Linked DNA regions of Xenopus tropicalis. The protein of the gene in region 2 interacts with the protein of the main gene of each other region in a pairwise test. Links are inferred from orthologs where the notes say so. Each region holds a gene or a part of one and is shown on either strand. Other genes may lie near its edges.

The links.
Region 1: the proteins of klhl42 (region 2) and sertad1 interact in binary tests that used the Homo sapiens proteins (3 or more experiments, as listed by UniProt). The two-hybrid records come from large-scale screens. The link is inferred for Xenopus tropicalis from reciprocal best matches to the Homo sapiens genes KLHL42 and SERTAD1.

What each region holds. Positions count from the first base shown.
Region 1 is NC_030684.2:78,228,575-78,232,644, forward strand, and holds the start of sertad1 (SERTA domain-containing protein 1), read left to right. Parts: upstream 1-1,247; 5' UTR 1,248-1,269; intron 1,270-4,070. UniProt on the Homo sapiens protein: Acts at E2F-responsive promoters as coregulator to integrate signals provided by PHD- and/or bromodomain-containing transcription factors. Stimulates E2F1/TFDP1 transcriptional activity.
Region 2 is NC_030679.2:10,512,363-10,516,451, reverse strand, and holds the start of klhl42 (kelch-like protein 42), read right to left. Parts: upstream 2,842-4,089; 5' UTR 2,356-2,841; exon of another isoform or gene 2,330-2,355; intron 2,311-2,329; 5' UTR 2,060-2,310; exon of another isoform or gene 1,880-2,059; 5' UTR 1,540-1,879; coding exon 710-1,539; intron 1-709. UniProt on the Homo sapiens protein: Substrate-specific adapter of a BCR (BTB-CUL3-RBX1) E3 ubiquitin-protein ligase complex required for mitotic progression and cytokinesis. The BCR(KLHL42) E3 ubiquitin ligase complex mediates the ubiquitination and subsequent degradation of KATNA1.

The DNA.
Region 1 (4,070 bases), on a different chromosome or scaffold from region 2:
TATCTCTAGCAAAGCAAAGTTGATCTCCCTTATGCCATTAAGAAATGTTGCAATCGCCCCATCTGGACTTGCTTAGTAAATGAGCCCTATATTATTTTTGGTTTTACTGTATAATTATAGTGTTATAACTTATTCCACAAAGTGATTACAACAAAATAACATTGCAGTAATTGTGCACTTGTAATACTCTGCATAATGTACTTTACCCCTAACTAAACCTTCAGGGAAATGGCATAGTCCCCCAGCTGTTGTGTAACTACATTTTCATGCATTCTCTGATAATTGTAAGTGCAGCTGTGATGTTTTACAAGGGAAAATGTACAACTTGTTAACAAATATAATGCTCTGTATGCAATATAATCTGAAGCCTAGTAAATTTATACAGTCTGGGAACTTTCTTTCTACAGAAGGTATATAAGCCTGGATAAACATTTCTACAGAAGGTATATATATATATATATATATATATATATATATTTCACACTATATATCACTATATATCTCCCTTTAAAACAGTATCTGCTTTCCTCATTTTTAGACACAACTGATGGCAGAGCATGAGGGGGCGTGGAGAAGGTGGGATATGTGGGATGGAATAGATTTTGTTTGTATGTGTGTGTCATACAAAGCTATGTGACAAATCCGCCTCTGCAGGCAAAAACCTGAATCATCTGTGTCTTGCTTACACTTAACTGTGTCTCTGAGTCACAAGCAATTCAACCAAAGTGTAGTGGATGCAGTTCCCAAAAAAATACAATTCAATGCTTTATTTCACTATTAAAGGTAATCAATAGATTATAGATAAATCAATAGATTCTTGTGAGAAAATAATATTCTCCTTTCAGTACAGATTGAACTATAGGGTAAATATATTTATTGCCAAGAGTAATACTAAATGAAAGATAAAACTAGGGTCTATACAGATGTACTAATTGAATCATATGATATTGTGGTTTTTCTCACTATTTCAGAATATAGAATATTTATTAGTATACATTGCCACACATTTGAATTGCTCAACTATGCTCTTGTACTTTCATACAGAAAGCGAGAGATTGCGAGCGATATCGAGGAGACAAATGTTTTACTAATTGTAGGTAAATCAGAATGGGGTTGCTGGGCACCTTGCTTTTAAATTAAACAATAAAGACCGTTTTTTTTTTAGCAAACTCCGCTGTCCGGTGTGTTGGAGTTCCTTCAACTACTTATGATTTTCCCCTTCGGCTACGGGTTCGGGGCCTTGAGCGCCCGGACCACTTCTGGACTTTGGTAAGTTATTTAAATTTCGCTTCACCTTTTTTGATTCTCTTTAACTGCTTGGGATCGTATACTTTGGAGATAGGCTCGGGGTCTATACACCTGAGCCTCCACATTTTACCGGATACGATTTGTGTTACCATCCCAATACAAATTTTATAATTTATTTATCGCTTTATTTTGGGGTTTATTTTGATTTGAGGTATGTTTTTTGGGGTTGCTGTGAACATATCTTTTGCCTGTTTTCACCTGGTTACGGGTCATCTGAAGTACACACTCTGTCGTGCATGCAAGATTCTGTGTGCAGGCCCCTGGTGTTCCTGGGGGAACAGGACCTTGTAATTGCATACTCATAGGAGAGGAAAAATAGACATGTAGCTAGTGTGGGGTAGTTCAACAGATGTAGGGATTCAACTGGACAGGGACTCAGGAAATTATAAATGTAATCCCTTGCAGCACCCATTATGCAGCCTGAAACACTGATCAATACCTGTAGTATGCAAGTAAACCCCAAGAGAACTCAACATTATGTGTGCCACAGTAGTATATTTTACAATAGGGGAACATTATTTACTATATAATGTGGGGTTAAGTGTCTTATCTACATGACAAAGGGCTCTGGTGCCATATTTTCCAGACTTCTCAACTCATAACTCCTTACAAAATATAACGCAAAATACTAATTGCAAACCACCCAGATCCCTGTACTTAGTAATTAGTAGGATTGGCCTCTTCACACCATATAACTTCTTTTCTGTGCTCTTCCAGGCCTGTTACATCACTGTAAACCCTATACCGATGCAGTTACTCTCCATGGGGTAAATTTGACTATATATCCCAATACTGTCCAATGTGGGAGGGAATCATTTTATTATTGTAGTGCTGTCTAACTTCTTCCTACCACATGTTTGCAGGCCAGACTATTGTATTGTATCACTTGTTGCTCTTTACAGTGCAGTATTTTAGGAGCACTATATAGTATAGTGTGATGGTGATAAGGTCTTTTATTGTACAGTCTGGACAATGCTGTATTGTACAGTGTGGTTGAGATCAGACACTATACTGCACAGCTTGTGGAAAGTTTTGACCCATTTTGTATAGTGTGTGGTGAAAAATATTTTTTTTACAGTGTGGGAAAGATCTCTATGCTGGCCATACAGTTTGTCAGTAACAGAAGTAGACATCAACAGGCCCCACATACAGTCATTGTCTCACTGCCTTTCCCCTGGTAGTTATTTCAGTGCACAATGTTTAGCTTCTGGCCAACACCTGCAGGAGCATTTTAGCCACCACTGCCACCCTGAGGCAGCTGGAGCGGTGCCAACCCCCCCTCACCCCATCCTGATTAACTTTATAGCTTTGTGCAGTAGAACAGACAAAATTCCAATTTAAAAATCTGAACTTCAGCTTGTAAGTAACCAGGAGCAGCCTTTTGCCACCCATTGTAACATGCAGGGTTCTGCCTCATGGCTGGAGCTCCTCTAAACACCTGTGATTCAGAGAAATGCTAGCTAGAGGACTATTTGCATGAACTCCTATATAGTTACATAGGGTTGAAAAAAGACTAGAGTCCATCAAGTTCAACCCATCCAAGTAAGCCCAGCACACCCAACCAACACCTACCAATCTATACACTCACATACATAAACTATATATACAACCACTAATACTAACTGTAGATATTAGTATCGCAATAGCCTTGGATATTCTGATTGTTCAAGAACTCATCCAGGCCCCTCTTAAAGGCATTAACGGAATCTGCCATTACCACATCTCTAGGAAGGGCATTCCACAACCTCACTGCCTTCACCGTGAAAAACCACCTACGCTGCTTCAAATGGAAGCTCCGTTCCTCTAATCTAAAGGAGTGACCTCTGGTGCGTTGATTGTTTTTATGGGAAATAAGAACATCCCCCATCTGCCTATAATCCCCTCTAATGTACTTGTACAGAGTAATCATGTCCCCTCACAAGCGCCACTTTTCCAGAGAAAACAATCCCAACCTCGACAGTCTAACCTCATAGTTTAAATCTTCCATCCCCTTAACCAGTTTAGTTGCACGTCTCTGCACTCTCTCCAGCTCATTAATATCCTTCTTAAGGACTGGAGCCCAAAACTGCACTGCATACTCCCTTACCAGGGACCTATAAAGGGGCAAAATTATGTTCTCATCCCTTGAGTCAATGCCCTTTTTTATACAAGACAGCACTTTATTTGCTTTAGTAGCCACAAAATGGCACTGCCTGGAATTAGACAATTTGTTATCTACAAAAACCCCTAGATCCTTCTCCATTAAGGAAACCCCCAACACACTACCATTCAGTAGATAGTTCGTGTTTATATTACTTCTACCAAAGTGCATAACTTTGCACTTATCAACATTGAACCTCATTTTCCAGTTTGCTGCCCAGTTTTACAATTTTTTCAAATCGCTCTGCAAAGCGGCAGCATCCTGCATGGAACTTATAGTTTTGCACAATTTTGTGTCATCAGCAAAAATAGAAACAGTACTGTCTATGCCCACCTCCAGGTCATTAATAAACAAGTTAAAAAGCAAAGGACCAAGGACTGACCCCTGCGGTACTCCACTAACCACACTTGTCTAATTAGAAAATGTTCCGTTTACCACCACTCTTTGTAATCTGTCCTTCAGCCAGTTCTCTATCCAATTACAAATATTATGTTCTAGGCCAATATTCCTCAATTTGATCATTAACCTTCTGTGAGGTACTGTATCAAACGCTTTAGCAAAGTCCAAGTAGATGACATTAACTGCCATTCCCGCATCGAGGTTCCTGCTCACCTCCTCATAA
Region 2 (4,089 bases):
ATGGCACATAGGGATTCCCCTGTACTAAGCACAATTCAGCATGAACAGCCCCCTAAGTTTGCTCATAGCCTGTACAGAGAGATACCATAAAACTATGGCACATAGGGATTCCCCTGTACTAAGCACAATTCAGCACCTTGCTATTTCCCTTGCATGTCAGTTTGACAGGATGATGGGAGTTGTAGTTCAATAACAAGGGGAATTAATATGGTTCCTATAGATGATAAAATAGAAGGTGTGCTTAGATTCTCAATACAGGACTCAGGATATAAATTTATTTTATTATATGAGTTCATCCAAGTTTAGAACTTGGAGTGGAACCTTGCACCTGGTATGTAAAGGGGAAGTAAACCACAAAATATTTTATTTTGTGCACAGAAATCGAAGGCCTGCGGTAGCTTCACAGGTGAAAAACACCAGCAGTCAAAATGCCCTGGTCCACTAGTCACCACAGCTAATGCTACTCAAACACAAGCAGTATATTTCCCCCTAGCAATCAGGAAGCGGTGTGAATGACAGATTTGAAGATAACCTGTAAAATAAGACTTTAAACTAGTTAGGGGTTGCTAGGGTCACTGACCAAGCAACCAGGCAATTGTCTGAATAAAAGACTGGCATCCTGGGCTCCTCAGTGGCCATAGCTTCATAGGACAGAACCAGAACAGAAAAGCAAAGTGACTAAGGAAAACAATATTCCCCACCTGATTACCTCTTTTGGTTCATGGAGGGCTCCTGGGTCCAGCACCCGTTGCTCGGGTTGTACGAGTGCACGGCACTGATCTCTTGCCCATTGTCCCTCCTACCTCCAGCCACAAACAGGTAGTTATGGAGTGTGGTAGCCCCATAGCCTTGCACCCTCAGCATACTCTGTGGGACCTCTCCGGTCATGACTTGCCAACCGCCTCCCCCTTCCAGGTACCTTAGTAGCACCCAGTTGTCAGGGCCCTGTTGGGACAGGACCATAAGGGCTGGGGTTCCTCTCAGCCTCTCTTCCAGGACACGAGTTCTGAGGGACCTTGGGCTCTGCTGGAAGTCTTCCCTCCTCAACATAGAAAGGTAATGAGCAGCCATGAAATGTAGAGCTGCCGAAGCCAAATCCCACTGGCCATGCAACTGCGCCACCTCCAGGATATCCAGACACGTGTCCAGGGACATGGAGGACTGCAGGAGAGACAGAAGACCTTGGACCTGTAGGTAGGATGCGGCTTCCACCACAGCCTGTAAAGGGCCCGATGACTCCAGGCCGCATGTTGATTCATCCTCCAGTGAGCAACGTTCTGGATCTTCCAAGGAAACAACCTGGAAACCAAACTCGGAACCCCCCTGAGCTTCTAGAAGGGAACCCCCAGTGATGTGGCGGAGAACCCCTTCCAGGCCCTCAGGGGTCAGCCCATGCAGAGTCACTGGTTCCCCATGACTTTCCCTCATGCCCGACCGGAACAGTGACTGGAAGAAACCACTCTGAGCCACCAGCTGTTCCCTAGGTACAGAGTAACACCTAGAACCCAACAGTATCTGAACTGTTTCTACAGAGGACATCACTTATACATGCATGATGCCTTCAAGAACCCAGAAATGGAACCAGAAAAGGGATCTACCAACATAAAAACATCACACTATTTGTGCACCGCATAGCTACAAGAACCTTGGGCACCTAATCAGGGCATCAAACTCTCATATCTGCAAGAACCTTGGGCACCTAATCAGGGCATCAAACACCCATACCTACAAGAACCTTGGGCACCTAATCAGGGCATCAAACCCTCATATCTACAAGAACCTTGGGCACCTAATCAGGGCATCAAGCACCCATATCTACAAGATCCTTGGGCACCTAATCAGGGCATCAAACTCTCATATCTACAAGAACCTTGGGCACCTAATCAGGGCATCAAGCACCCATATCTACAAGATCCTTGGGCACCTAATCAGGGCATCAAACCCTTGTTTCTACAAGAACCTTGGGCACCTAATCAGGGCATCAAACACCCATACCTACAAGATCCTTGGGCACCTAATCAGGGCATCAAACACCCATACCTACAAGAACCTTGGGCACCTAATCAGGGCATCAAACCCTTGTTTCTACAAGAACCTTGGGCACCTAATCAGGGCATCAAACTCTCATATCTACAAGAACCTTGGGCACCTAATCAGGGCATCAAACACCCATACCTACAAGAACCTTGGGCACCTAATCAGGGCATCAAACACCCATACCTACAAGAACCTTGGGCACCCAATCAGGGCATCAAACACCCATACCTACAAGAACCTTGGGCACCCAATCAGGGCATCAAACACCCATACCTACAAGAACTTTGGGCACCTAATCAGGGCATCAAACACCCATACCTACAAGAACCTTGGGCACCAAGCACCCACTCTGGGCATAAGAATATCAGGCAGAGAACCAATAAAGGAAATGCCCAATGTTCCTTACACCCCCCACCCATGACAATTAAGGAATCTCTTGGAAAAATACTCCAAAAATAACAGCCCAGAAGCAACACCCTCCAATCAGGAACAGTTGCCCAACTAGAGAATGGACCTGGATTCCCCACCCATCAGCCGGTCCCGTTTCAGCTCAGCAAACTGAGTAACAAGAAAGTCCAGAAAGAGAGAGAATCCCATCTGTGCAGCTTGTCCATTCAGCTCATTGTGCCAGCAGCTCTAGCCCCATTGGCTGCCCCCACTTGCCCCCCTTGCCCAGTCTTTCCGTTTACCCAACATGGAGAGAACGCCCCAATACAAACTGACCATCCAGGCATTTCACTTCCTGAATGTGCAGAAGCTTGTAAAAAACCCAGTCCCCTCCACCTGCGTGCCAGGGACCACGCCCACTTATACGCAAACACGTACTTGACACGCCTCCTGCCCCTCTTATAACCACAAGCCGCGCAAAGACACGCCCCCATTGCCAGACGCACCTCCTCATGGAAGCGTCTGCTTCATAGACAGGCCCCTCCCCTTCCCATATTGTGTTTTCCCCCCCATGCCCCATAAACACTGGCCTTATATGTGCAGCTGGGATTCTCTATGGGAGGGCTATATCCCTGCCAGACGCCATCCCCATGGGAACAGGCAACCCTAGCAGATATTACATAGTAGTTGGAGTTCAGCCTTTATCGCCCAACTGAGAGACTTTAGCTGTAAAAGCCGTAAAGAGATACTGACACCAGAAATTAAACCCTTTATTGCAACTGTCATGACACTGTTTGTACATTTATTTATTTGCCCATAGAAGTGTTTGCCCAATGCATTTATATTACCTATCTGGTCTCCATGTCCCTCTATGAGGCGGCGGCGGCCATATTTGTGCAGCCATTATTGGTTAGCATTAGGAGCTATAACTGACCGGCTGGGAGGGGACACTCAGGTTTAGGAACGTCAAATAGAAATGACTTACATTAACAGCCCTCCCTACCTGGGAGGATGTTGAGGAGAATGCTGGGAAGGAAGCTGGAGGATGCTGGGGGGGAACTGGAGGATGCTGGGGGGAGCTGGAGGATGCTGGGGGGGAACTGGAGGATGCTGGGGGGAGCTGGAGGATGCTGGGAGGGAACTGGAGGATGCTGGGGGGAGCTGGAGGATGCTGGGGGGGAGCTGGAGGATGCTGGGGGGAGCTGCAGGATGCTGGGGGGGGAACTGGAGGATGCTGGGGGGAGCTGCAGGATGCTGGGGAGTGGAGCTGGAGGATGCTGGGGGGGAACTGGAGAATGCTGGGGGGGAGCTGGAGGATGCTGGGGGGGAGCTGGAGGATGCTGGGGGGGAGCTGGAGGATGCTGGGGGGGGAGCTGCAGGATGCTGGGGAGTGGAGCTGGAGGATGCTGGGGGGAGCTGAAGGATGCTGGGGGGGAGCTGGAGGATGCTGGGGGGAGCTGCAGGATGCTGGGGAGTGGAGCTGGAGGATGCTGGGGGGAGCTGGAGGATGCTGGGGGGAGCTGGAGGATGCTGAGGGGAGCTGCAGGATGCTGGGGAGTGGAGCTGGAGGATGCTGGGGGGGAGCTGGAGGATGCTGGGGGGAGCTGCAGGATGCTGGGGAGTGGAGCTGGAGGATGCTGGGTGGGATGCAGAGGGGAACTGGAG